Macaca mulatta: one gene and its partners. The protein of the gene in region 1 purifies or fractionates together with the protein of each later gene. This does not show direct contact. Links are inferred from orthologs where the notes say so. Each region holds a gene or a part of one and is shown on either strand. Other genes may lie near its edges. The genes, in order: RSRP1, PSME3, C1QBP and CPSF6.

Evidence for each region.
Region 2: the proteins of RSRP1 (region 1) and PSME3 purify together in Homo sapiens (affinity purification with mass spectrometry; 3 studies listed by BioGRID and IntAct, counting the BioPlex papers as one, with this or other methods). This does not show direct contact. The link is inferred for Macaca mulatta from reciprocal best matches to the Homo sapiens genes RSRP1 and PSME3.
Region 3: the proteins of RSRP1 (region 1) and C1QBP purify together in Homo sapiens (affinity purification with mass spectrometry; 3 studies listed by BioGRID and IntAct, counting the BioPlex papers as one, with this or other methods). This does not show direct contact. The link is inferred for Macaca mulatta from reciprocal best matches to the Homo sapiens genes RSRP1 and C1QBP.
Region 4: the proteins of RSRP1 (region 1) and CPSF6 purify together in Homo sapiens (affinity purification with mass spectrometry; 3 studies listed by BioGRID and IntAct, with this or other methods). This does not show direct contact. The link is inferred for Macaca mulatta from reciprocal best matches to the Homo sapiens genes RSRP1 and CPSF6.

Annotation. Positions count from the first base shown.
Region 1 is NC_133406.1:215,691,609-215,696,672, reverse strand, and holds the start of RSRP1 (arginine/serine-rich protein 1), read right to left. Parts: upstream 3,254-5,064; 5' UTR 2,044-3,253; intron 1-2,043.
Region 2 is NC_133421.1:67,182,716-67,187,705, forward strand, and holds the start of PSME3 (proteasome activator complex subunit 3), read left to right. Parts: upstream 1-1,949; 5' UTR 1,950-2,184; coding exon 2,185-2,226; exon of another isoform or gene 2,227-2,733; coding exon of another isoform or gene 2,734-2,808; intron 2,809-2,896; coding exon 2,897-2,929; intron 2,930-3,019; exon of another isoform or gene 3,020-3,053; coding exon 3,054-3,116; intron 3,117-3,310; coding exon 3,311-3,415; intron 3,416-4,990. UniProt on the Homo sapiens protein: Subunit of the 11S REG-gamma (also called PA28-gamma) proteasome regulator, a doughnut-shaped homoheptamer which associates with the proteasome. 11S REG-gamma activates the trypsin-like catalytic subunit of the proteasome but inhibits the chymotrypsin-like and postglutamyl-preferring (PGPH) subunits.
Region 3 is NC_133421.1:6,939,218-6,944,257, reverse strand, and holds the start of C1QBP (complement component 1 Q subcomponent-binding protein, mitochondrial), read left to right. Parts: upstream 1-1,838; 5' UTR 1,839-1,891; coding exon 1,892-2,123; intron 2,124-2,706; coding exon 2,707-2,857; intron 2,858-5,040.
Region 4 is NC_133416.1:76,356,351-76,361,569, reverse strand, and holds the start of CPSF6 (cleavage and polyadenylation specificity factor subunit 6), read right to left. Parts: upstream 3,047-5,219; 5' UTR 2,963-3,046; coding exon 2,903-2,962; intron 1-2,902. UniProt on the Homo sapiens protein: Component of the cleavage factor Im (CFIm) complex that functions as an activator of the pre-mRNA 3'-end cleavage and polyadenylation processing required for the maturation of pre-mRNA into functional mRNAs.

The DNA of each region.
Region 1 (5,064 bases):
CAGGCTAGTCTTAAACTCCTGGCCTCAAGTGATCCACCCGCCTCAGCCACCCAAAGTGCTGGGATAACACGTATGGGTCACCATGCCCAGCCTTTTTTACTTTCTTTTTTTTTAAGACAGAGTCTTGTTCTGTCACCCAAGCTGGTGTGCAGTAGCACTGGCGCAATCTTAGCTCACTGCAACTTCCGCCTCCCAGGTTCAACTGATCTTGTGCCTCAGCCTCCTGAGTAGCTAGGATTATAGGCAGCGGCCACCACACCCAGCTAATTTTTGTATTTTTAGTAGAGATCAGGTTTCACCATGTTGAAGACGCTAGTCTTGAACTCCTGGCTTCCGGTGATCTGCCTGCCTCAGCCTCCCAAAGTGCTGGGATTACAGGTGTGAGCCACTGTGCCCCACTAGCAGCTGCTATTTTCAATTGACCATTGGTGTCATTTTGGGAAACGAAAACACTTTGAATTGATTCAAAAGTACGTGATTGTCTCATCCCAGACTTGTTAGATTCAATGTCTGTATGTTTTTTCACATCCCCTTCTCCACCATGCCCAACCGCAAATTCTTTTCTGCATATTGTGCAGTATGCTCTGTTTGGGTTACTTACCTCCCTAATCCAGCTGTATGTGTCCTTCCATCTGTCATTAAAATAACATAGCCGTTTATGTTAAACAGCTTTGGTATTGTCTAGGTCACACTGGTGTTGGTATTGTACTTGTCATTAGTTTCATTATCTGAACTCTAAGAAAACATGGTCACAATTCACAAAGTTTACTGTCTATCTACATACAAAGCACACAGTTAAGTAGACTGTTAACACTCAAGATTAGGACTCACACTGTACATAGTTAGAACTTAAAATTGCTCTGAGAGGATGCAACAATGGATGATCCATTATTGTGAACCACAAGTCATGGCTGCCAATTCAGAGGTTAACAGAAGGCAGACCATAGCCATATTCACTTAAGGGTTGTCTTCAGTCTCTTTTTGGGTGGGGGGAGGCACTATACAGTTTTTGTGTTCCTCCCATCCCCAACTTTCCTCACTCATTGCTGAAAATCAGGACTTTTTGCACTCAGGAGTTTCCTAGAATGTGGGACTTTCAGGGACAGTTCCAGGCTCACCAAAAGTAAAGTTCATTCCCCTCCCATTTTCATGGGTGAGAGCCTGTTTACTATTTCCAGATCTGCTACTTTGACTTTAACAAATTATATTTAGCCTTTCTGAGAAGTATAGAAGTTAAATCAAATAAAAAATTTTAACCAGATCTTTTGGAAGGTTTTGTTTGGATACACCTGAAGTACTTACCTCGAACTTTGTGGCATATAGTACAGCTGTTGCACAGTTTGTTTCTTTAACGATAGGAACAGTTCTGAGACCATCTGGCAAGTCAGGGTTGGCTATTCCTAAAGATTTAGCTGGGCTGGCTTTTGCTATTTCTAGCAGCTCCATTTTATCTACAAAAGACAAACATTCATTAAGTCCCAAAAACGTAAAGAATGACAAATTAAGCATTTATCTTATTAATGAGAGTAATATAAAGATGTTCACTCATGTTTATAAATATTTGACAATCATGTTAAGGTCAGTAAAGATAAAAAAGGGTAGGGGCAAAAAACACAAAGAGAAAGGAGAGTTAATATCTTTTCTCCCGCAGTCATTAGCTTATTAAAAGCTGAAATCAAGGTTTGTTTAAAGCTGCTCAGAGCTGGTAAACTAATGTTAAGTCATTAACAGGAATTTAAAAGGTTTCATTAAGAACTGCCTGCACTAGATTCCTCCATCCTGAGACATTAAACAATCACGATAAACCTCCTGAGTGGTAAGAACGTGTCCATTTAAAAATAGGATATAGATTATACTATGTAGTTTTATCTACTAATCGGTTAATGCCCCCCCACCGAAAACAAACAAACAAAAAACCCAAAGGGATATAAGTTTCATCCATCAAAGGAAACAACAGTCATCATGGTTTCCATCCCATTCATATACTGCCGCCGTACATGTAAATCAGATGAACCTGCGCGTAGCTCTTAACAAGTGACCCACCTTTTTAACTTAAGTGAAAGGAGGTTCTGCTCCGGGACCTCTTCCTGGATCTCTCCCTCCACCCTCTGTGTTCTTTCGGGTGCACCATAGGGTCAAAGCCGCAGCAACGCCGTCTCTGTGTGATCGCATAATGCCCTTCTGTAGCACGACCTTCCCCCGAGAGTGACCAGCTACCGGACAGGCACCACGGAGGGGTACCGAGCACCTCCCGGACCGGCGGCTGCAGGATCGCGAGTGCCTCCGCTAGGAAGACCGCACGTTGCCCCTGTGCTTCCTCCGGTGGCGCCTTCTGCAACGACACCTCGACCCTGCTCCCTCTCTGGGGCTGGATCTGACTCCTCGACGGCGATCCCAGACGCGAGACCCAAACTGACGGCTTCCAGAAGAGGGGCCAGCCCGGCCACAAGTCGTTCACGTAGCTAACACATCATTGCTTCCGGCTTCTTACCGTCCTCCCCTTTGTAAATGGTCACCTCCCGAAAACCCAGGCTCTCCTCCAACAGTGGTTCTCAAGCGAGGCGATCTTCCCCGAGGGGGAGGATATTTGGCAAAGTCTGGGGACATTTTTGGTTCACTGGGGCTGCTACTTGCATCTACCGGGTAGAGACGGGGGATGCAGTTACACATTCTAAGCAGCACGGGACATTACCCTTCCCAACCCAGACAGAATGAGCCGGCCCAAAACGTCAGTAGTGCCCAGGCTGAGAAACCCTGCCTTAAACAAACAGCAAAGAAAGGCCAAGTCCCATAAGTGGGTCACCGCGCCGGGACCGGGGTCCACGGGACACCCCAGCCACACCGAGCTGGGAAGTCCCCGCCTCCTGGAGCTGAACCCGCCCCTCTACCAGAGGTGGAACCGCGAGGGGGCGGGAACAGGCACGGAGAAAATAAACAAGACTAAAAAGTCCTGAGTAGCGCTGTGTGGCTGCAAACCGGAACCCAACTTTTGCACCACATGGGACCCGGCACTCTTCCTGCCACCCACACCTGAGACGGCTGGGGGGCCGACCCCAGTACTAGAAAACACTCGTCACCTCAATCAAGACGGGTACAAAGGCCAACGGATACCTTCCTTTAGAAAGCTCAGCACACAGAGCAACTTCTCACGCCTACCCTCGAAGGGCGTACTCCAAGCTAGCACTTCCGACGTCCAGCTGTGATCCCAAAGCTGCGGAAAGCCCCGCCAGCGAGCGCCCGGGCCTGCGCAGACGCGTTGGCGTGGTGGGCGGGGCTCCCTCCGGACCCGGCGTCCCGCCCTCCGCCCCGTGTCCGCATGCGCGGCTGAGCCGCGGGGGTGGTACTGCTGCATCCGGGTGTCTGGAGGCCGTGGACGTTTTGTTTTCTTGGCTGAAACCGGTGGAGTGAGGCAGCTGCGCGCGGCGCTACACCGGGCTCCGGAACCACTGCACGACGGGGCTGGACGTAAGTGTCGGGCGGGGAATGGGGGCAGGAGAGGAGCGGCTTCAAGGCTGGAGAGGCCTCGGAGCCGGGACCGTCTGACGGGTTGGTGCCTACAGCACAGGCTCGTTGCCGCCACCCTCCGGGAAGCCGCAGACCGGGGCTGAGCCCCTGCAGACCTCTCCTCTCCTGGGTCCTGCGGCGCCTGGAGAAGGCGACCGCGTCCAGACCCGCCAAGACGGAGACGGGACCGCGCCCTCCCCCAGGACATCCCAGGATTCTTGGAAATACCCCGGTCCCCCACTTTACAGCTGGACAGGCCGAAGCTCCGAGAAAGGAGCGTGGCCCGTCCGGCTCCCTCAGCGAGGGGCGGCCGGGCTGAAGGTGGCTCCCCCATCTTCCAGCCGCGTCCCTCGAGACCTAAAATTCCCAGAGTTTGGAGGGCGGGGTCTGGCTTGAGCGTGCCAGTCGTCGTGCAAGAAAAATGGATTCGGGGCGGGGCCATTGGGATGAACCGAAAGTAACACTGGATTGCAGTTCTTCCCGGGGAAGAATCGAATGAGTGAATTTCCTAAATTGAACTTGTCCCAAAGACATCTTAGCACTGGCTGTAATCATGTATTTTAATATTTAATTTTTGAAAGAAGTTAAAAATGGGAGACGTTGCTCTTTTTTAGGGTGTCATATTTTTGGACAACTATAATTGCTGGCTGCAGAGTAATTTAAGGGACTCAAGTTCGCTGTAGGAATTAGGGTGTTCTCAAGTTATACGTATTTCAGGTTTTTTCATACTCTGAAATAGAGATAACATGGCTGTGTCTCAAGTCAGGTCTGTACAGCTCGGCTTACAGGAGTGTTTTATGTAATTTGTAAAGACAGTTTGGGTCTGCTATATTTAAATAGTTGGATTTTTGTAATCTGAATTAATATTAATCACAATTTTGTGCATTTTTTTGGCTGGAAACACCCTTTAGGATCAGAGATAGGGATATTAAAATCAAGTGGATGTTCTTTACATAGAAATGACACCAAAAGGCAGGCTTGCAGAAAGAAAAACAGTGAAGTGAATGAAGTGAAGGGAAATGATGTGGGTAGAGGTAAGAACTGCAGTGCAATGTTTAATTTCTTAATTTAGGTGTGAAGAAACACACGTTCTGTGATAAAATATGTAAATTAGAGAATTATTTTTCATTTGAATCTGTACTTCCACATAGAGCCACAGTTTATCACTTGTCTCTCTACTAATGTTAGTACTCCTAGGCTGTAAATATCAAAGTCATCTAATAAGTTTGGAATCAAAATGATACAAAAGAGCTCTTGTGGATTAGTAATCATATACTTGATATTAAAAGTACCACCTAAACTAATTCAATACCTACTTAGAAATAATGGGATGTGACAGATTTTTAGGAGGAGGTCAACCAGTAGTTAAAATTTTTCAATATTTGGAGACCCACCTTTGTTAATGTTGCTTAAATATATCCAAATCATTGATTTCTATTTATTCATTATTATTTTTTGAGACAGAGGCTTGCTCTGTCGCCCAGGCTGGAGTGCAGTGTCACGATCTGGGCTCACTGCAACCTTCGCCTCCCAAGTTCAAGCGATTCTCCTGCCTCAGCC
Region 2 (4,990 bases), on another chromosome or scaffold:
TGTGGGAAATAATTCCTGAAGTTTCAAATCGGATCTCAACAGTTCCCGGGGAAATGTGTTAACAGAAAACAGAGGTAAAAGGGGAAAAACTGTTAGATGTTTATGAGCAAGATGGATAGTATGAGCTATGTTATATGTGGCCTTCTATAAGCTGAAAAGGACTTTGAGTTTGAAAGCAGGAATGAAAATAATTACTGTAATTTAAGGACTAACCTCTTCATGCTAAGCGTTAACAGATCAGTTACTTATCTGACAGTGGCTACTATTTATTTTGTATCTAAGCACTGTGCTAATTGTTTTACATATATTATTTCTAATATTCACAACACTACAATATTACATACTATTATTTATTACTAATTATTAAAATTCCATTTTACAGATGAGGGAATTGACTCAGGATTTCAATAATTTGCCCAAGATTCCAGTTAGTAAGGAGCTGAGGTGGGATTTGAGGCACAGGTCTCTGATTCCAAAGGCCATAGTCAGTCTTTTGTGCTTTACTCCATTTAATTGTGTATTCCCCTCATTCTCCTAGCACTTAGTAGAGAGGCCAGTCTAGGATAAATGTTCAACAGCAAGAGCGACCCCAAAATATAAATCTGATGACCTCTTTTTGCACTTAATCTAGATTGTTTACTAACAACCCTCCTCACCCCCAGCTCACCAGTCTTTGTCTTCAAGACAGTCTCTTTCCTTCCCTAGAGCATTTGCTGCACTTATACGTCTCAAGGCTCTTCTCACTCTTTCCATGCTAACCCCTTTATGTCCTTTAGATCGCAGCTTGTCTCTTGTTCAGAGGCCTTCCTTGGCCATTCGATCTAAAATAGATCTCTGGTATTTTCTATGTCATACACTTGTTTCCTAATATTTATCAAATTTTGCAGTTACTTTGTCAGTTTACTTTCTGGTGTTTTTCCAATATTATGCCCCATGAGACCAGCAACCTTGAATCTTGTTTGCCTTTGATTTCCCAGAGCTGTGCTGTTCAATACAGAAGCCAGCAGCCACATGTGGCTACTGAGCACTGTACTGTAAATGTGTTATTTTCTTATTGAGATGTGCAGTTAAGTGTAAAATATGCACTGGATTTTGAAGACTTGGTATGAGAAAAGAATGCATAAGATCTCGATTTTTTAATGTTGATTACATGTTGAAGGACTTGGATAAATTGGGTTAAATATATGACTAAAATTTTCACTTATTTTACTTTTTAATTGTGGCTAATAGAAGATTTCAACCTACATATGTAACTCACATATTTCTAGAATCTGAGACAGTGCCCTGGCCCATTTTATTGAATGAAATATCCAATGTCGAGAGAGAGATCGAATGAATGGGTGTATGAAGAGGTATAGTCTTAAGCTTCCATTAGGCAAATAGATACAGCACTGCCATAGAAGTTAGGAGATCTGGGTCCTGGCTCAGGATGTACTGGAAACGCCTTGGACAAGTCTTGCCCTACTCTGGGCATCAATTTGCCCATTAGGTAGTTGATCTTTGAGGTCCGGAAGCTTACGACAGTCAGTTGGCAGGGAAATGTACCAGGAAAGCTTGGTACAACCGCACTTGTGTTTTTCGCTCTAGCCTAAACACTTGAGCCTCGGCAAACGGGCAGAGGCAGCGGGAATCAGGGACTACACCCCCGAACCCAGTACCCGGGTCCCCGACTTCCCCGAGCCTACGTCACTGGGGCGCGACGGCGCTGTCCCCGGGACTGCAGCGACTGAGGTCCCTTCGGTGAAGGCGAGTTCCGGGCCAACAGAGAGGGTCGCACCGTTTCCGAGTCTTTCGGAGGCTCAGTTCTCAGCGCACCATTCCCCACAGCTCTCCTTTTTACTTCACCCCTACCCAACACTTTACCCCGGGGAGCATCCAAACCCGAGTCTCATCGCGGCTGCGCAGCGCACGTGCACAGCCTCGCAGGAGTCTCGGCGATTGGCTGTGACGCAGTTTCCGGCGTGAGCGGCGAAAGCCGGGAGGGCGAGCGAGAGAGCGACCAGGCAGCAGGCTGCCGGCGGGCGGGCGGACGGCACGGAGGGAGGGAGCAAGCGAGCAGTGAGTGAGCCAGCGAGGGCGGCCGGGTCCCGAGGTCAGCCGAGATTTCTCAGGTCCCTCCGGCCCCCTCCCTGGAGTCCACAGCGCCTCCGGTGTCCAGCGGATCGGACACGGCCCGGCCCGGCCATGGCCTCGTTGCTGAAGGTGGATCAGGAAGTGAAGCTCAAGGTAGCGGCACCGGTCCGGCCTTTTTGCCCCTCGCTTTGATCCCCCAGCAGTCTGACTGGCTTCCTACTCCCCATGTCGTCTTTGTCTCCCTGGGGATACCAGCTCTGAGCTTCCGCTCAACTCAGCCCAGCCCCCAACTCCCGGGGTCGGCTTCGCGGGAGAGGAAAATATAGGATGGCTTTCTGTACCGCGTCTGATGATGGAGAGTCCCGGGGACACCTCCGCGGACACGTGTTGGACTCAGGGCTTTAGGCCAGTGACAGCTGGAAATCCCCCAGCCCAACAACGTCCCTGGACACTGCCTCTGCCCTTGGTGGCTGGCCTGCCTGGTATCATAGGCCAGGTCTGGGTGGGGGTTGGCACGTTTGTGAGCTCACATCTTTCCTAACTACCTGTCTTTTGTCTGCTTATCAAATTCAGACAGCTTCAGACACAGGAGGGAGGGAGGGGAGAGGAGAGAGGAGACAGGCAGGTGCTGCCCTCAAAGCCCTGCTTTCTTCTCCTGAGATGGAAAAATGGATCCTCAAAAAAATAAAGTATTTGCAGTCTGGGGGCCTCTCAGCTTCTTATTACAGTTACAAGGTGAGGGAAAGACAGTTGGATTTGGGATTCTCTATCCTGCTCTTACCTCTGTCTCCAGGTACTGAATTGCTCTCTTTGTTAATTTTAGGTTGATTCTTTCAGGGAACGCATCACAAGTGAGGTGAGTGAAATAAATAGAAAAATGAGTGTTGGTTGAGAGTTTCCCAAAGAGGAGATATCTGTAGAGAGAGAGAGAGAGACCTTCCCACAGATATTAATTCAGCTATATTTTCCCTCCTCCTTAGGCAGAAGACTTGGTGGCAAATTTTTTCCCAAAGAAGTTGTTAGAACTTGATAGTTTTCTGAAGGTGAGAGACCCTTTTCTTTCCTCAAATTCCCCTATTTTTTTGGCCCTGGTATTACTGTCAACTGGAACTAATTGTGTGTTGATTCTTCTTTTTATTTTTTTAAACTGTAAAAGCGCTTTCATTTCTTGCTCTTCAATCAAATACTTCTTTGTTCAGCTTGAAAAGATTAATGTTTTGGGGTGGGTGTCTTTCAGGAACCAATTTTAAACATCCATGACCTAACTCAGATCCACTCTGACATGAATCTCCCAGTCCCTGACCCCATTCTTCTCACCAATAGCCATGATGGACTGGATGGTGTAAGTGTCCTATATTTATCTTTGTGTTCTTGAGCAGTAGGTCCTCTGTCCTCTGTTTCCTTGTCAGTTTAAGATGTACAGAGGCAACAGTGGGATTTGGATCTGGGAACTAGGACTGTTACAGACATGATGACTCTAGTATAGTTGTTTTATTTCTTATTTATTTATTTATTTTTGAGAAAGGGCGTCACTTTTTTTTGCCCAAGCTGGAGTGTAGTGGCGTGAGCACTGCTCACTGCAGCCTGGACCTCCCAAACTTAAGTGACCCTCCCTCCTCAGCCCGCCAAGTAGCTGATACTACAGGAGTGTGCCACCATGCCCAGCTGATTTTTGTATTTTTTGTAGAGACAGGGTTTCACCATGTTGCCGAGGCTGGTCTCAAACCACTGAGCTCAAGTAATCCACCCGCCTCAGCCTCCCAAAATGCTGGGATTACAGGCGTGAGTCACTGCACGAGGCCTCCGGTATATTCCTTTTAGACCCTGAGTTTCATTTACGATGTGAAGTGAATGTGCTAATGCTACTCTCAGTGTTAGAGTGAGTTTCAAATAAAAGAGAACTAGCTTTGGCCAGGCGCGGTGGCTCACACCTGTAATCCCAGCACTTTGGGAGACTCAGGTGGTTGGATCACGAGGTCAGGAGATGGAGACCATCCTTGCTAACATGGTGAAACCCCATCTCTACTAAAAATACAAAAAATTAGCTGGGCGTGGTTGTGGGCGCCTGTAGTCCCAGCTACTCGGGAGGCTGAGGCAGGAGAGTGGCATGAACCCAGGAGGCGGAGCTTATAGTGAGCCGAGATAATGACACTGCACTCCAGCCTGGGCAACAGAGCGAGACTCTGTCTCAAAAAAAAAAAAAAAAAAGGAGAGAACTAGCTTCATCAGGTTACCTGGTTTTTCCCATGGTTCTGAACAAGACTTAACTTTGTTTCTGTGTCTTGATAAGTGTTATGGGATATGAAGTTCTTGCTGTGTAACTGCAATCGCTGTTTTGCTGTACATCTTTAACAGCTAGTCCTTATCAGTCATGTGTCCGCATGCTACTATAACACTGATGATACTGAATTGTTGTCTGTAGTACCGCCTCATTGACAGAACTTGTACGTCTGGAAGGCAAGAACTACCTTTTTTTTTTTTTTTTTTTTTTTGAGACAGTCTCACTCTGTTTCCTAGGCTGGGGTGCAGTTGCGCGATCTCAGCTTCCTGCAACCTCCCCCTCCCGGTTTCAAGTGATTCTCCCACCTCAGCCTCCATGTAGCTGAGATTACAGATGCGCGCCACCAAGCCCAGCCAATTTTTAAATTTTTAGTGGAGACAGGGTTTCACCATGTTGTCCAGACTGATCTCGAACTCCTGACCTCAGGTGATCCACCCGCCTCAGCCTCCCAAAGTGCTGGGATTACAGGCGTGAGCCACCGTAGTCGGTCGGCAGGAACTATCTTAATCTTTGTATTCCCAGCACCTAGTGTTGATCCTGGTCCATAGCAATTGCTGAATGCATGGTTGTTGACTGAATAATGTGTTCCTTTGTGGAACCAGAAGATTTGTACGTATTCCCTTAATTATCTTCCCT
Region 3 (5,040 bases), on another chromosome or scaffold:
AAATTTGCACTTGACGATCAAATCCATTAAAAATGAATCTTGTATATGATGTGTATGGCTTGTTTCTTGGGTCTCTTTTCCATTATTCATAGAAAATTATTTAGAAAATATTAAGTGTTAGTCTTATCATGAGTTAGTAAGACACACCTTCTTAGTAGCTTGTATATCCTGGGAAGGTAGGATTGTTGGTTCTTAATCTAAATCTGAACCCCATTTCTGGGTTCTATGAATTTAGTGGAGCAGCTCACAGAACTCAGGGAAACACTTTTACCAGTTTCGTATAAAAGATATGACCAAGGATACAGATGGAGATGAGCAGGGTGGGGAATAGGGAAGAAGCTCCGAGCTGCCACGCCCTCCCTGGGCCACCACCCTCCAGGAACCTCCGCGTATTCAGCTATCAGAGGCTCTCCAAACCCTGTCCTTGGGTTTTTATGGAAGCTTCTGGACCTATCTAAATGATACAAGCCGGCTTCTTGTCCCCAGAAAAATGATGTTCCATTAGAACTTGGATGCAGGGTCGGAGGTGCAGAGAGGGAAGGTCACAGAAATTACTCATGGATCCTGCCCTTCAGGATGTCACAGTCTGGTTGGGTTTAACCCGGTTAAAACCAGCAATGCCAGGAGGTTTCTGTTGAAAAGAGAATGAAGCCTAAGGGCTGGGTGCGCACAAGCATGAGTTCTAAGCCGATGGAAAAAAGGAGGTTCTAGGAAGGCCTCTTTCAGGAAAACCCTGACTTCTTCCTTTGCTCTTACAACAATCAGCACAGAAGAGTTCTGTGACCAAAGGTTTGGGTTTTTTCCCTCCACACTAAGCAGCAGACACGAGCGGGGTGTCCTCCAATTCAATCCCAACATTATCTACCTGGAGACAGTGTCAGATCCCATGAGACAGTGTCAGATCCCATAGGTTGAGGGCTCAGTCCCCAAGACCGCCCCGACCTTCAGACAGCAATGGCAAGTCTGGGCCTCTGAAACTTCCGACCAGCCCGCTTCAAGTGGGGGTTCCCACGACCCCCCTCTTTGGGTTGTATTAACTCACTGGAGCAGCTCACAGAACTCAGGGAAACACTTTTACCGGTTTCATATAAAGGATATTACCAAGGATACAGATGAGATGAGCAGGGTGGGCAGTGGGGAAGAAGCTCCGAGCTTCCTCGCCGTCCCTGGGCCACCACCCTCCAGGAACCTCCACGTATTCAGCTATCAGAGGTTCTGCAAACCCTGTCCTCATGGGTTTTTATGGAAGCTTCTGGACATCAGCATCCCTTCCCCCAGGGTAGAGGGTGGGACCTTCTCTGGGAAGGGACTTAAGACCCATAATCAGAAATGTGGGAGATTAGAGTCCTGCATTGGGGCGGGTGAAAGGAGGGCGGGAGAAGGGGAGAGTGAGAGTCTGTTTCCTGAGGCCTAACACACCCAACATTATCACAGAACACTGTAACGAGGGCTATGGGAGTTACGACCCAGGAACTGGGGATGAAAACCAATAAATACATAATATAACACCACAGCCTCCTAGAGGAAAGTGACCGTGTAAGGGGCTGGTGAGAGCTGGGGGAAGACAAGAGTGCATTCCACACAGCCCAAAAGCCTGGCGTGCCTTGAAAACAGTAGGTGGAAGCGGCCACTAGAAATAATTAAACAGCTTCGGACAGAGGACTCAGGCCAGCGCAGCAAGAAGGCTCCGGAAACCGGATTCGAGGCTTCCCGGGCTGCACAGGAGGCCTCCAGCAGAAGGCGCGATTCCGCCTGGGGCCTTAGGTCCTCAGTGCGCCGGCGCGGGAAGCGCTTCCGGGCAAGGGCGGGGCTTCCGGCGGCGCTTTAGGTCGCGGGGTACTTGGGCCTGGGTTGTCCTTTGCATCTGCACGTGTTCGCAGTGGATTGCGCGATGCTACCTCTGCTGCGCTGCGTGCCTCGTGTGCTGGGCTCCGCCGTCCCCAGCCTCCGCGCTGCCGCGCCCGCCTCGCCTTTCCGGCAGCTCCTGCAGCCGGCGCCCCGGCTGTGCGCCCGGCCCTTCGGGCTGCTCAGCGTGCGCACAGGTTCCGAGCGGCGGCCGGGCCTCCTGCGGCCTCGAGGACCCTGCGCCTGTGGCTGTGGCTGCGGCTTGCTGCACACTGAAGGTGAGGTTCGCGCACGCGGGCCAGGGGTGTGGTTTGCGGTTCACGGAGGGGAAAAGACCAGGAGTGGGGCCTGCAACCGACCTCCGAGGTCTGGGACATTTTTCCATTGATTGGCAACCAGCGGGTTAAACCCACGTGTGATCATATTCCCCCCACCTCCCCTATCCACCAGTTTCATTTTCTGTTGGTAGGGGGGTGAATAAAATTAAATACTAGAGGGTACCTTCATCCTTAGTCTTATTCTCTCGAAAGTGGACTTTTGGGAAAGCCCAAGGTCGTGTTTGAAAATAGCATACGATACAACTATCGTTTGGCAAGTGGAAGAGGATGATCGGAAATTCTTCTGCTTTATAGCGGAAAGTGGTAATGCGTTCATTGTTGGAAATCACTTTTCCAGCATCAGGCTCAGCTTCCCACTAATATTATGGTATTTTTACAGATAAGGAAACTGAGGCTTCTAGAGTAACTGTAATAGCAGAGAGATTAGAAATAGTCCAGGTTTCTGGCTGCGATAACCAGGGTAATAGTTTTATGTTTTAGACTAACTGGCTTTCCTTTTTATGTATATGGATTTCTTTTCTAGGAGACAAAGCTTTTGTTGATTTCCTGAAGGATGAAATTGAGGAGGAAAGAAAAATCCAGAAGCATAAAACCCTCCCTAAGATGTCTGGAGGTTGGGAGCTGGAACTGAATGGGACAGAAGCGAAATTAGTGCGGAAAGTTGCCGGGGAAAAGTAAGTACTGGTCTGGGGATCCCAGGGCACCGACTCCCTTAACCTTGCAAGACCCGTCCTGAGTCATCCCTAGAAGAGCCTTGAGTTCAGGTGTGGATAAATGGTTTTCAAGAGAGTGAAGGATTCAATTGGACAGCTTCATAAGGTCCAGGCAGTCCATTCACTGAACACAAATTTGCTGTGGGCTGGTTACTAAGGAGACAAAAATGTAGCGCAAAAAAGTACTGACAGAATCTGTTTGATCTCTGATTTACAGCCCTGATACAGTAGCACCCTGCTCTCTGTAATGTTTAGCTTGGGTGAAAATGCAAGGCATGTAACTTATATGTAACAGGATGGGGTTCCACTGTAGATAAGGGCTGCCATCAGAGGCGGGGAGTTTGTGACCTAAGTCAGGTGCCCCACCTTCTCCTAAACTGTTAGTGTTTACACTTTTCTGCTTTATAGTCATCCATAATCTCATTACACAGATAAACATTTGTCATCTTCCAGATTTTTAAATTGAGGCTGGGTGCAGTGGCTCACGCCTATAATCCCAGCACTTTGGGAGGCAGAGACGGCAGATCATGAGGTCAGGAGATCGAGAACATCCTGGCTAACACTGAAACCCTGTCTCTACTAAAAATTTTAACAGGGTGTGGTGGCAAGCACCTGTAGTCCCAGCTACTCAGGAGGCTGAGGCAGGAGAATCGCTTGAACCCCCGGGTTTCAGTGAGCCGAGATGGCGCCACTGTACTCCAGCCTGAGGGACAGAGCAAGACTCCATCTCAAAAAAATAATAAATAAATAAATAAATTGAATTTTCTTTATAATTGACCTTATGATGTATATATAATTCTTTTTTAAAATCACAGCTTTAATGTGATTTAATTTATATGGCATAAAATTTACCCATTTATTGAAGTTTATTAAATTAAGTGGTTCTTAGTCCTCACAGAATTATGCATCGGTTACCACTACCTAATTCTAGAACATTGTTGTCAATCCCCAAACAATACCTATTAGCAGTCACTCATTATTCCTCCCTCTAGCCACCCCAGGTAATCACTAAGCTACTTTATGGATTGCCTCTTTTGGACATTTCATATAAATGGAATCATACAATTTGTAGCTTCCTCCCCACCCCACGGAGTCTTGCTATTACCCAGGATGGAGTGCAGTGGCACGATCTTGGCTCACTGCAGCCTCTGCCTCCCGGATTCGGACAATTCTCCTGCTTCAGCCTCCTGAGTAGCTGAGATTACAGGCATGCGTCCAGTTAATTTTTGTATTTTTAGTAGAGATGGGGTTTCGCCATGTTGGCCAGGCTGGTCTCAAACTCCTGACCTCGTGATCCGCCCTCCTCGGTCTCCCAGAGTGCTGTGATTACAGGTGTGAGCCACCCTGCCCAGCCTGTTTACATTTTTAATTGTTGGGTTGTAAGAGTTCTTTAGTTTTGACCGGGCACGGTGGCTCACACCTTTAATCCCAGCACTTTGGGAGGCCGAGGCAGGTGGATCACAAGGTCAGGAGATCAAGACCATCCTGGGTAATGCAGTGAAACCCTGTCTCTACTAAAAGTACAAAAAATTAGCCAGGTGTAGTGGCGGGCGCCTGTAGTCCCAGCTACTCAGGAGGCTGAGGCAGGAGAATGGCATGAAGCCCAGAGGCAGAGGTTGCAGTGAGCCGAGATCACGTCACTGCACTCCAGCCTGGGCGACAGAGTGAGACTCTGTCTCAAAAAAAAAAGAATTCTTTAGTTTTTCTGGGTATAGTGATCTTACCAAATTAATGATTTGCAAGTATTGTTCCCCATCTTGTGGGTTTTCTTTTCACTTTCTTTGTAATGCCCTCTGACACAAAAGTTTCTGATTTTGAGGAAGTTCAGTTTACCTATTTTTTTGGTTGCTTGTGCTTTTTTTAGTGTCACATCTAAGAAACCACTGCCTCGCCCAAGGTTGTGAAGATTTATGCCTTAATTTTTTCAGAGTTTTCTAGTTTTAGCTCTTAGTTGAGGTCTGTGATTCATTTTGAGTATGATGTGAAGTAGGGTACCAATTCTCTTGGCTATTGTGTAGTGTGGTTTTTCCCTACACAGGTCAATTGTGTCTTCTGTAATCTCACCTAAAAACCATTTGCACAAGGTTTTCATAGCTATTTGGGGGCCATTAAAAATAATGCTCTGACGAACATCATTCCATTTC
Region 4 (5,219 bases), on another chromosome or scaffold:
TTCTCAACTTGGTGACATCCAAAGACCTCTAAGAATTAAAGAGAACCCATAAGGATTAGTCAGTCCCTTGTGCCTCCTCCCCCTTCATTCTCCATTCTTAAGTTCACCTGGTGAAGAAAAGAACTCTATTAGAGCTTCACTAAATTATTATTCTCAATCTATCCCCAAACAAATTAGTTTCTGCTAAGACTGTTGAATGCCTCACTTTTTTCTACTTCAATAGATGCAAATCACGTTTTGAAACAATATTGTACCTTACCAAAATACAAACAAGCTTCATAAAAGTATGACATTTAAAATATGAGACTCAGCAGGATACAGACAAAAAAATAGTAGAAAATGGAAATAAAGACTATGCCGAATTTCAAAGTACACAAATCCAATTAGAACTGCAGTTTACACTGGAAAACAAAGTTTTTTTTTAATGTTTACAACAGTTTTGAAGCCAAAATAAGTCAAAACTGGCTAATACTTAGGAAAGTATTTTACTCAACAATAAAACAAGAGGTCAAGTCTACTATAGCAACTAGTAGAAATAAGGTCACCAGCTAGTAAAGATTAAATCAGTTGTAAATTATTTTGTGGTTGCCTCTAATGGTGGCAAAATTTTGGAAAAACATTTCAATGACAGTAACATTTTTAAAAGCAGGATAAGCTCTGAAAATAACCAACTATCCTTTTGTGACTTTTTTTTTTTTTTTGGTACAGGAACAACCACAGCAAGCAGTGGTACTGCAAAAAGATATACAAATCAATCAATCATTGATTGGCCAACGATATGCAAAGTAGCAAAAACAATGCCTCTATGTATCCTCGCCATCAATCTATTCAAACATATAAAGATCTTACTGGCAAAATTATACAACTGTGTTAGATATGTGGTACGTACCTTATACAAATCGTTGAAAAGTTACATTTAAAAGGAGTCCCTCATTGGGTCCACAAAACTAATCTCTTCTTACCTCCCACCCAGTCAGCACTTGTTACTGCACAGGGATAACAATCCACCCAGCTATCCGGAAAAGGGAGATGTCCCTCTCAAATTAAGAATGCAAAAGCCCAAACATATTTCATTAAGAGGTACTGAAAAAAGTTTAACTTCTAAAATTGTGTCCCAATTCTTCTTTTATTGTGCATAGAAAGGTGAAGCAAAGTATTCTCTTGTAAGAAAAGCTAACAAGGGCAGCCTTGAACACTTAATCGTTGTTCCTTGCAGTTACGGCCCTCTTCTAAACGCACTGTTACATTCACTTGATAAATAAAAGGAAAAAAATTTCCTAGAGGTCTTATAAGCGTTAGAATCTGTGTTGCAGTCGAGGAATGTATCTGATTTGTAACTGACACAATTCAAGCATTATTATTTAAAACAAGCACAATTTTAAAAACACAAAAATTTAAAAACTTAACCTTTCATTACAATGTATTACATTTAAACAAATCCAGTCTTCAACGGAGTAGCAAACATTTAAAGCCAACTAGTAGTTTTCTGTTTTCTAATATTTAAACCAGAACAAAGTCATTCCTGAAAAATAAAACAGTAAAGAGCTCCTGAGTTTCCTTGTTTTTAAAAAGCCTGAGCAACTAGTCACGAATATGACAGTTAATGGAGGGGGAAAAAAACACATTAAGCCAGTATTATTTTATTAAGCTTCTCATAAGGACCTGGGGAATACAAAAAAATAAAGCTTTTAGGAACACGGCAGTTAGGCACAATTTGTTTTAAATGTGTTACTACATAAAATGCAGTAAAGATACGACCAGCAGGTTCAAACCTTAAACGTCACTACTCTAGCAACAAACGACATCTTTTGCAAGGATGCCCATTATCAGACATCACAGCTCCGCGTTACCTCTAAGCAACGTCGTTCAGGAAAACCTTGCATTCTCACTTTCGCTCAACCTTTCAAAAGGTAATGCAGGGCCGGGGGATTTAACACTTTGTTTTCGAAAACAGGGTCTTATCTACAACTCTATTTTTAAACCACATCATAGGATTTGGGGTGAACGTTCTTTCATTTTAATCACTATGAGACCTGTGGGTGAGCTAACATCTTTTTGTTCCATCCAAACATCGCGCTTCCAATCTTCCTTTAGGTCCCCGGCCACCCATCTTCACAGGTATTTTCATAACAAAGGCCAAAAACGACTGGGCTTCAAAGGCATTGCAAGCCCTGGATTAACAAGGCAGGACCAGCGCACCGACTTTTATCTGTGGCTCCAAAAGTCAAATGACTTGTTGCAAACAAGCCTGCACCTCAGCCGCCTTCAGAAAGTGTGAAGGGAGGAGGAAGGCGCCACGCCGAAACCTGTCGCAAACCCGAGGAGAGCCCCAGGGACTGGGCGCGCGGGATACAAAGGGCCGTGAATGCGGCCTTCCATGAGGCGATAGTGCGCGGGTAGGGAGACAAAATGGAGCAATGGGAGGAATCTGAGCCCGAGCGGCAGCGGCGGGGAAGGGGCGGCGGCGGCGGGCGCGCGCCCTGCCGGGGCTTCCTCCTCCGGCCGGCGACGGGGGAGGGGGCGCGGCGGTGGCCAGTTCTCTCCGCCGCTTACACGCGGCCCCACCGCCCGGGCCTAGCGCGGCGGGAAGCGCCAGCCGGGTGCCGCCAACAATAGGGAGCGAGGCAGCGCCGGCGAGGGAGGAGCCGGCGGCAGCTGCACAGCCGCCCGCATCCGCGCTCCGGGCCCCGCGACGGGTCGCCGCGCCCGCGGCCCGTGAAACGACGCGGTAGAACGAAGGGCGGGGGGGGGGCCGCCACGCCGGGGGTCGGCGGCGCGGCCCAGAGGCGGCAAGGGCGCATAGTCTGCAGTCGCTTCGGCTCGCGGCCGCAGCGGGCCCCGGGTCAGCGTCCCAGCCGCAGCGCCGCCCGCATGGGCGACGGGGACCCGGGCTCTCACGTACCTGGTTGAACTCTTCGCCCACATCCGCGTAAATGTCTATGTGGTCCACGCCGTCCGCCATCTTCCCTCAGCCTCGGCCGCCACCGCCGCCGCCGCCGCCGCCTCCTCCTGCAGGTCCGCCCGCCGCGGCAGCAGCAGCGGATCTAGCGGCGGTGGGGGGCGCTTGCGTCACTTCCGAGGCCCGAGGGATGGAGGCGGGAGCGACAGGGGCCGGCCGGGGGCGGGGACTGTGCAACCCAGCCGCTCGGCTGGCTGAGGAAAGGCTGCTCCTCTAAGGGCAGAGGGCGTTTCTTTTGTGTCTGGGTGAGGCCCGGGAGTGGGGGGCAATTTCTTTGTCCTCCTCGCGCATCCAGTTTACCAGTGGGTCCCACCTGTTTCCACACATCGTCTTTTCACGTGGCCTCTGCCATACTCAAACGTTTTGTTAATATTTTCATTTATCCGTTTTTCTTACCTTTCACACATGCAGGACTTCTAAAGGTGGAAGTTATATGTTCATGGTTAAATACAAAGTGTAACCCCCGGGCATTCTGTGAGCGGCTTAAGGCCAAAAACAATGTGTTGTTTCTGCATCCTCAGAGACAAGCAGAATTTTATTTGCATGTAAACGCTAGATACCCGTCAGTGGTTATATTTGCACGCTGTTTATGTTGCCATTTCCATCTCTAATCTTCATGGGCTTCTTTCCTCTCCCCTTCTTCTCGCATTCATTGCCCTTCATTTTTTCTTCCTTAGATCTACAGTAGGTTGTCTCTGGCATAGTTCAGATGCTTCTAAAATGAATGCAGTCATCTTAGAGCACACCCAAGAGAGTGGAGGTCTCTTGAGGCCAGGGGCTTCTTTCTCAGAATCCTAGAATGTCCCAGCGGGAAGGGAACTGGAAAGGTGTCCTTAGGTCCAAACATCTCATTTTACAGAGGAGAAGACTGAAGCCTAATAGAACCTAAGTGATTTAACCAGGTCACATGGTCAATAAAGGTAGGAACATTCAGCCACGATACTTTACTCAAGGATGTCTCTCCAGTTTGAAACTTTCCCCTCCGTTCTTTATTTCTTTTTCACTCATTAAGAAATATACTATAGTAGAGCGTGTTTCCTGAGAAACTGGCGAGAAATCATCCATAGAATAACCCAAACAACATCTGTAAGGTTGGGCATCTCTAATCCAACAATTTGAAACGCTCCAAAATCTGAAACTTTTTGTGCACTGACATGATGCCGCAAGTGAAAAATTCCACACCTGATCTTATGTGCCAGGTTGCAGTCAAAATGCAATCAAAACTCAAAATAACTAAAAATATTGTATGACATAATCTTCAGGCTATGTGTATAAGGTGTATGTGAAACATAAATGAATTTCGTTTAGACTTGGGTCCCATCCCCTAGATATCTTATGTATACACAAATATTCCAAAATCCACCAAAATCCAAAATCCAAACACTTCCAGTCCCAAGCATTTTGCATAAAAAAGACTCAATCTGCACTTGGTATGGTGGAAAAAGCTTGGTTGCAGTCATGGAGACCAGATCTGGGTACCCATTTCTAATCAGACATTTTATCAGCTAAATGACCTCAGTCAAGTTTTCAACTCTCATAATCAATCTCAGAATCTTTAAAATCCAGGCAATAATATCTACCTCACCAAGGTTGAAGGTTGGTGATACTTTAAATGAGTTAATATGAGTTAATATGCAAAGTGCCCTGTCCTGTTCCAAGAATCAGTACTTAAATACTGATTCACTTTCTTTCATAGGGCGTTATAGAAGAAAAGAGACACTGAAGTTTAAAGATGAGAGCATTTTCTAGATTGGTGGTGTGGTAGAATGATGGCCCACCATAGATGTTCATATTCTTATCCCTGAAATCTGTGAATATGTTACCTTTGCAGATATGATGAAGTTAAGGATCTTGAGATAGAGATAGGGATACCTTGATTGCCCAGTAGGCTCAAAGTAATTGCAAGGGTCTTTAGAAGTGAGAGAGGGAAGCAGTAGAATCAGAGAAGATGCAAAGATTTCTATTGCAGTTTATTTTCTTTCAATACAATTAAAAACCATTCCAGCCAGCATGGAGGCTCATGCCTGTAATCTCAGAACTTTGGGACGCCATGGAGGGAAAATTGCTTGAGCCCATGAGTTTGGGACGAGCCTGGGCAACATAGGGATACCTTGTCTCTACAAAAAAATAAAAAAATTAGCCAGGCATAATGGTGTGCACATGTAGTCCCAGCTACTCGGGAGGCTGAGTTGGAAGGATCACTTGAGCCTGGGAGGTTGAGGCTGCAGTGAGCCATAATTGTACCACTGCATTCCAGCCT